2 separate regions of the Mus musculus genome follow, and region 2 is reported to be linked to region 1. Evidence: microRNA targets listed by miRTarBase, many of them from high-throughput screens and not tested one by one. Region 1 holds a microRNA gene; the other region holds the end of a gene's coding sequence. Distances are from middle to middle.
Evidence for each region. The annotated mature microRNA mmu-miR-127-3p reads UCGGAUCCGUCUGAGCUUGGCU and lies in region 1 at 3,088-3,109, opposite strand. An mRNA with a match to its seed (bases 2 to 7 or 8) in the 3' UTR can be bound and repressed. Matches are read on the target gene's strand: a 7mer-m8 pairs with bases 2 to 8, a 7mer-A1 pairs with bases 2 to 7 and ends in A, and an 8mer does both.

Region 1 (4,207 bases):
ATAGCAGGCATCTCCCTGCAGATTCCCGCCTCCAACCAAGCTCACTGGGCTGGCTCTAGACCACCAAGCCTGCCAGCAGCCGCTTTGAGTGGCATTGAGATGTGACCTTTATGACTTTTGGGTGACTACAAATGGGAAGGGAACCTGGCCAGGGCAAAGCGGGCCAGAAGTGTGCCCTGCCAGGTGCTAGCTCGCCACAGAGGACGCTCCAGGCCAGTTGCTCCACAAAATTTATGGGCTGTGAATTTCTCATTCCACTAGAGGAAGTAGGCAGGTGGGGTAGTCAGACTCCGCCTGGAAGGCAGGTCAGGGGGTGACGGTCTTTCCCCTGGAGGTGCCCCAAGTAACCAGAAAAGGAGGCTGAACTGAATGCAGGAGGAATTTCTCCATTTTCTCTCTGATTCTAGTAACTTGGCATCTGCTTTGTCCTTGAGATAGAATCTGACCCTGCCATCTTGAGAACCTAAATTGCTACATTTTCTCCTGTCTTTTATCCCTCTGTCCCTAGGTTTTGGTCTCCACAGTTGCGGTCTCTGACCACACACATCACAATCTTACCAGTCTTCAGAGCACACTCCTTTCCAACCGACGACATGATAGAACCCTCTGAAGACTCATTTGAGACGATGATGGAGCTTAAGAATCCATCATCAAAACAAATGGAGTCCTCCGAGGGCTCATCCAACACCGTTGAAGAGACACCAGGCAGCAGTGGAGCCCAGGCGGGGGCCCAGGCAGGGGCCCAGGCGGAGGCCCAGGCGGAGACCCAGGTGGAGGCCCAGGCGGAGGCTCAGGCTGAAGCCCAGGTTGAGGCCCAGGTTGAGGCCCAGGCGGGCTCAGATAGTGGCCCAGCCCAGGAAGAAAAGGAGCCACCCAGTGGCCCCCTCAAGGAAATGCAAGAGCTGCCCACTAATCTACTCCAAGAAGTGGAGGAGCCATCCAGTGGCCCCCACCAGGAAATGCAAGAGCTGCCCACTGATCTACTCCAAGAAGTGGAGGAGCCATCCAGTGGCCCCCACCAGGAAATGCAAGAGCTACCCACTGATCTACTCCGGGAAGTGGAGGAGCCATCCAGTGGCCCCTACCAGGAAATGCAAGAGCTACCCACTGATCTACTCCGGGAAGTGGAGGAGCCATCCAGTGGCCCCTACCAGGAAATGCAAGAGCTACCCACTGATCTACTCCGGGAAGTGGAGGAGCCATCCAGTGGCCCCTACCAGGAAATGCAAGAGCTACCCACTGATCTACTCCGGGAAGTGGAGGAGCCATCCAGTGGCCCCTACCAGGAAATGCAAGAGCTACCCACTGATCTACTCCGGGAAGTGGAGGAGCCATCCAGCGACCCCTGTGAGGCATCATCTAACGATCTACCCCAAGACATGGAGGAATCAAGTGATGATGGTTCGAACCAGGAGTCGAGTGATGGTTCAAACCACGAATTAAGTAATGGTTCAAACCATGAGTCGAGCTTTGGTTCAAACCCAGAGTCGAGCGATGTTTCCAACCTGGAGTCAAGCGGTGGTTCAAACCAGGAGTCCAGCGATGGTTCACAAAAGGAGTCAAGCTATGATTCAAACCCGGAGTTAAGTGATAATTCAAACCAGGAGTTAAGCGATAATTCGAACCAGGAGTCAAGCGACAGTTCAAACCAGTCAAGTGATATTTCAAACCAGGAAGGGTCGGAACCACTCAGTGAGGCATCCGATTATAGCATGGATGAAACAATCAACTCATCCGAGACCCAGTCAGACCAAGATGATACTGACCTGGGAGATGACGAGGAAGAGGAGGAAGAGGAAGGTGGTGAAGAGGAAGGTCAGCCCAAGAACTCTCCAGAAGAAGTCGTGGCCACCATGGGGAACGTCATCTCGCTGTTCCTCCGGATGCAAGACCTAAAAGAACAACAGAGAGTGGCAGAAAGGCTCATGATGCAGGCTATCAACGAAGGTCGCCTGCCCTCCCTCAGGCCCTTCTCTGGAGATCGCAGAGACTACCATGAGTTTGTCGTGCTCTGCCAGATGACAATGCAGAACTACCCAAGTATGCTATACAATGATGAGCTGCGGGTGAAATTCGTCATCCGCCACCTGACTGACCTAGCCTTGGAATGGGCCAACGACCTCGTAGAGCAGAACAGCCCAGTGATAAACAACTTCTCAGCCTTCCTGGAGGCCATGTCAGAAAAGTTTGAGTATCGGCAGACCCTGCGTGTGGCGGAAGACGCCATGTTCAACATCAGGCAGGGGAACCGCTGTGCGGCCGATTACATCAATGAGTTCCGGGGTCTGATACCCACCTTAGGCTGGCCAGATGAAGTCCTGCAGGCCCACCTGTGCCAGGGGCTCAACGAAGAGATCAGGCACTATCTGTTCCGGATCCCTCAGCCGAATTCCCTAGACAACCTGATTGTACTTGTCCTGCAACTTGAAGAAAAGCTGGCAGAGAGAAGAGCATTACTCAGGCTGCCACCTGAGTCGCGCCCAAGAAGCGTAGCCTGGATGGATGCTCCCGCCCCAGAGAAGTGGAGGGTAAGCAGCTGGCTGCCCAATGAGTTCCACCCAGACATTGATCGCGATCACCTCTTCTTACTGCTCTTGGTGAGAGTGGACCCCTACCACAGTGTCGCAGTGCGGGCCCTGGTGGACTCAGGAGCAGAAGGGAACTACATGGATGAGAGGTTTGCCCAGGAACACTATGTGGAACTCTATGAGAAGCCTTATCCACAGATAATCCAAGGTGTGGATGGCATCCCAATTGGCAATGAACCCGTCTGGCTGTGCACCGAGCCCCTGGTATGTGTCCACCAGAAGCATTATGAGTACATCGAATTTGACATCTTACCTTCGCCCAACTTCTCCATCGTCTTAGGCATGAAGTGGCTCCGAACCCATGCCCCTGAAGTCGACTGGATGAGAGGCCGGTGTACCTTCCACTCTCCCTACTGTCTGCGGAATTGCTTCACCCCACCTCCACCATGCATCGCACTAGAGACATACAGCATAAGCCTACTGCCCGGATTGCCACACACATACTCAGACCTGGCCGACGTGTTTAACCCGAGGGAGGCAGATGATGAGACTTCCGACCAGCCAAGCTCAGACGGATCCGATGATCTTTCTGAATCAGAGCCCTCTGAGCTTCAGCAGGCTGGAGACAGTGATCAAAGCGGCGTCTTTTACGAGTCTGGGGCCCGAGAGACTTTGGAACCTGTGAGCGCCAGGATGCAAGAGAAAGCCAGGCAGCAAGAGAAAGCCAGGGAGCAAGAGGAATACTGGATACTGTATGACATGCTGACTGACAGACAAGACTACACGCAGATGGTACCAGAGCTATTCGACCAGCTACATGGAGCGGCATGGTTCACAAAACTGGAGCTGCTTGGGATTAAGGAAAGTGAGATGAGGCACACGGTCACACACACGGAAGACACTTGGAGAGCATCGTTCGGTTTCGGCCTTCACCAGATGAGATGCTACCGGCCCTTCACAATGAACTCATACTCTGACGAAGGGAACAACATTGTTCACTTCATCCTAAAAGACATCCTAGGGTTGTTTGTGATTTGCCATGGCAGAGAGGTCCTGGTCTACTCAATGAGCCAGGAGGAACACTCCCAGCATGTCCGCCAAGTCCTGGTCCGCTTTCGGTATCACAACATCTACTGTTCACTGGACAAAACTCAGTTCCATCGCCAGACCGCTGAAATCTTGGGCTTCAACATATCCCCCAAAGGGGTGAAACTGAACAAGAACCTTATGAACCTCATCGTGGGGTGCCCTGTCCCTGGCAGCAGGAGGTGTCTTCAAAGTGTGATTGACCTTGTCTATCCCTATCGCCACTTCGTGGAGAACTTCGCTGTCATCGCAGCACCCCTAGTGAGACAACTGCTGAGTTCAGAGCCCTACTACTGGGGAGAAGAGGAGCAGGAGGCCTTGGAATCCCTGAAGAGGGCTTTCCGCAAGTCGCCCGTTCTCTATCACCCTAAGCCTCAGAACCCATTCTACTTGGAAACAGACATCACTGGGTCATTCCTGTCTGCCTCCCTGGTCCAAACCGACGACGAAACTGGCAAGAAATCTACCTGTGCTTTCTATTCAAGACCCCTCTCTACAATGGAGGTGGAGTACCCTCGAGTGGAGATGAGGATCCTTCCAATCCGGGCTGCCTTCATGGTGTGGTGCCGCTACCTGGAGAACACCGAGGAGCC
Region 2 (4,000 bases), 74 Mb from region 1:
TATTAAGCATCATTACCTCTATGTGGAGTTGCTTCAATTGTGTCAAGGTAGCCACTGAGCAAGAATTGCCCCAATTCATCTGCAGACAAAAAATACTGTCCAAAATAGGCCAGAGGTGGAGTAGTCGACTGCTATCCTCTGCCAAGACAGAGTAAGCCAGTCCTCCATAATTCCTGTTTTACTTAAGGTCAAATGGTTATGGGTCAGAAGGATAAAGATAGATGCTCCAACATTATATAAAATTAATGGACTCCAGGCAGCCAGCTGTCTCTATAAGTTGTATAATTTTGGAAGCTATGTCTTTATGCTTCCTACATATATATTTAGGTAATATTTAATTCCTTCTCAGATCTCTGAATGAGTTGAAGACTGGTTATAGTCTCATAACTGAAATTAAGTTGTTTAGCATTAAAGAAGTTCCAGATATGAAGGGATGGATGTCAGATGGTAATACAAGTTAAAATCAACATAATTCAGGCATGGGATTATACACGTTTTAAGTTAGGATATATGATAGAGTGCTTTATCTAAATTGACAAATATGATGGACTGAATGTTAAGTATATAACTTATAATTTGCATAATTGTTATAGTTGCACTAAATTTATATCTGAGAAAAAAAGAGCCTTTTTTATTGGACAAAAAGGGGGAAATGTTGTGGGCTGCCCTGGTGCTGTTTGTATTCTGATGTTAATTCTCTTTCCTCAAGAGGGGTTGCCCCGAGTCAGGTGATCTCATGTGACCCTTCTCCCTGTTTTAACTGATCAATAAAGGCTAGAGCGTGTGATTGGGCAGTGGAGGAGAAAGGTGGGACAGGAGGTCTTAGAGAGGACAGCATGTGGAGAGGGAGGAGAATGAGAACACAAGGAGGACGGAAGAGGAGGAGGAGGAAGCCATGTTGGAGCAGAACCACTTGGTCAGGGGAAACTGCAAGGGGTCTTATAGCTGGAGAATAAGTTAGAGAATAGTGTTACATCTGCCCAATCTACAGCTTAGAATAACTGGATTGTGTGGTCTTTATATGGGCTTACTGCAATTGTAAATCCCAGCAATAGGTCTGAGGCTAGCCTGGGCCATAAAGAGGTCAAAATAAGTCTGGCATACATAGGAAGACCCTATCTCAAAAGACAGAAACCAAAACAAACAAAAATGCTCCCCGTGGACAGATCCTAATTTAAAAAACAAAACCAAAAACAAATCTAGTGTGTGTGTGTGTGTGTGTGTGTGAGAGAGAGAGAGAGAGAGAGAGAAAGAGAGAGAGGGAGAGAGAGACAGACAGACAGAGAGAGAGAGAGAGAGAGAGAGAGAGTGAGAGAGAATGCACAAGTGTGCAGGGGCCTGAGGGGTCCAGAGGTATCAGATCCCCCTGTAGGTACTGGAGTTTCAGACCATGGTGAGGCATTAAGGTAGGTGCTGGGAAAGGAACTCTGGACTCCCTCAACAGCAGGATGACTTGTTAATAGCTGAGACGTCTCCCCAGGCCCCTCAGACCCTGGTTTTTAACTGATTCCAATAAGGCCATTGCAATTAGAGCAAAAACCAAGTTATAGGCGAGTTCTCTGTGCAACCACCTTTCCATTTGCAATCATTTGTACCAAGAGTATGCTAGGATTCCTTAGAACCTCATCGGGTATTTTCATCTGCAGCTGAATAAACAGAAAAAATACAGGAAAGAAAACAAGCCTTCAACACTCTCCTTTCATGAGTCACTTCTCTCGTTTTACAGCATAAGCAGTTCTGCCCAGGTGGCCATGGTGCTCGGCATGACACCCTAGAAATAGCGCAGTTCTGCTTCTGGGTAAGACTCACTAGCAGCAGAGACACAGATGCCCCAAGGTGCATTCCTCTGTACCATTTACCAACAACCTCTTGGTATAAACTATCGATCACCAATAATGTTTCACATTCTACTCAGAACCACAACAGGAAATTAACTGTCACTAATGGAAAAGAATGTGTGTATACTCTCTCCATATAAATAGAAGTGGCTTCTTCAAATAAATAAAAACACCTTTTTCATTATGCAGATGATAACATTAGCCAATGAACTTGTTCAATAAAGCATTTGAGGGCCAGCAGATTATTCAGTAGCAACAGGACTTGCCATCCAACCTGACGGCCGGAGTTGGATCCCTGGGACCCATATTGTGGGGAGAACCAATTCTTACAAATTGTCTTCTGACTTACACACACACACACACACACAAATTGTTTCTTAATTTAAGAAAGGATTTGGGCTGGTGAGATGGCTCAGTGGGTAAGAGCACCCGACTGTTCTTCCGAAGGTCCAGAGTTCAAATCCCAGCAACCACATGGTGGCTCACAACCATCCGTAACAAGATCTGACTCCCTCTTCTGGTGTGTCTGAAGACAGCTACAGTGTAGTTACATATAATAATAAAATAAATCTTTAAAAAAAAAAAAAAAAGAAAGGATTTGGGAATAACTTCCAAAAGACATCATTACTGGGGGTGTATTTCTAAGGCTTGGTTAAACACCATCTTAAGGTATAATAAAAGGCTATGGAAAAGCAGAAGGAAAGATGCCTACTTGCCTTGTCAATGTTTCTAGTACCTTCTTTGATTTAAACACCCATATACAAAGGAAGGTTTTCAGCTTTTATTTTTTTAATGTAATATACAGAGCCACAAACACCATTTCTCTCTCAACTTATGGGAGGTAGTACATTCAAATATATTTAGATTTGACAACTTGCTGTCACAATACCAAGAAATGTCATTAAAAAGTTATTTTTTGACAGGCGATGGTGGCACGTGCCTTTAATCCCAGCAATTGGGAGGCAGAGGCAGGCGGATCCCTGTGAGTTCAAGGCCAGCCTGGTCCACAGAGCTAGTTCTAGGACAACCAAGGCTACACAAAGAAACCCTGTCTTGAAAAAAAAAGTTACTTTTTAAAGATAACCAAATATCTATTTGTTACATGGGCCTGGGCCAATGTATTGACGGCAAGTTGTTTACATATACAGTGTTTTGAACTTCGTATTTTTTTTTTTTACATCAGATTATGTAGATATATGCTCTATCTTCCTCAAATTCATCCCATTTTGAGAGCTGAAGATGTTACACACCAAAGCATTTCCCAAATGGTATCTTCCTTTGCCCTTGACTAAAAAGGTCAAAAACTAAATTTCATTTTCCTAAAGACACAGCTATTTCTAGAACACAGGGATGCAATCCTGACAGACTACTAGAACTAAATTATCACTTCTGTGCTAACACTTTTCACTACAATGTAGCTTTTCCAAAAGGCAAAAAGTATCAGGAACATAGATTTCTCCTAATGAACTGAACACAACAGAGTCTCTTCCTTTCTGGATTCATAAAACATCAACTGTCTTGGGTGGGAGCCCCAGTGCTCTGGGTAATTAGACAGTGAGATGAAGATCTGGGGTCAAATATCATCTACCCAGGGGTGCCATACACAGTTTACAGCAGGTAAAAATGCTAAGAAAGGCCACGGTGGACAGTGCCAGACACCAACAACAGTAGATTACAGGGACCACTGAGGGCCAGGGAATATGGGGAACTTCGATTGCTTTTTTAGCAATGGAAAGAAAAAAAAAATGTCTGGAGAAACTTAAGAGTAAAATTTTTAATTCCATCGTTGACATAATGTGGTTTTCAGATACTGCTTCCTTTGTCGTATGAACAAATTAGTTTAATTTGAGATTAGAGAAAGAAAACAAGATCAACAGAGGAAAGGTCTTCTTTGTCTTCTCGTCAAAGGAAAGCACTCGGGTTGGCGCGAGGGTCTTTCTGGTTCCGGTATCTGTAGGTCAGCCAAACACCCAGGATCTGGAATTAGAAGGACAAACGAGTTTTGAATCGATTTAGTCGATGAACAGAATAAATTAAACTTCTGAGTTCCTTTTGCTTGGTTTGTGTGCAAAGACAAGATTCAGGCAAATCAAAGGACAGGCACTACCAAATCTGAAGTTTGAACACTGTGTTAGACTGCATGCTCCTTCCCCATGCCTGGA

Region 2: miRTarBase lists Tspan13 as a target of mmu-miR-127-3p. Seed matches in the 3' UTR shown: 7mer-m8 at 2,812-2,818.

What each region holds. Positions count from the first base shown.
Region 1 is chr12:109,591,790-109,595,996 of GRCm38, reverse strand. It overlaps Mir127 (microRNA 127), which reads right to left and starts at 3,151; the gene lies at 3,082-3,151. It overlaps Rtl1 (retrotransposon Gaglike 1), which reads left to right. Exons shown (of 2, transcript NM_184109.2): 2 at 509-4,207. The coding sequence starts at 594. 6430411K18Rik (RIKEN cDNA 6430411K18 gen) reads right to left here. Exons shown (of 1, transcript NR_002848.3): 1 at 3,146-4,207. Mir433 (microRNA 433) reads right to left here; the gene lies at 4,159-4,207. It also overlaps Mir434, Mir432, Mir3071 and Mir136.
Region 2 is chr12:36,011,958-36,015,957 of GRCm38, forward strand. Tspan13 (tetraspanin 13) reads right to left here. Exons shown (of 6, transcript NM_025359.3): 6 at 2,598-3,815. The coding sequence ends at 3,741. Among named protein-coding and RNA genes, the nearest start is that of Agr2, 21 kb to the left of the region's middle.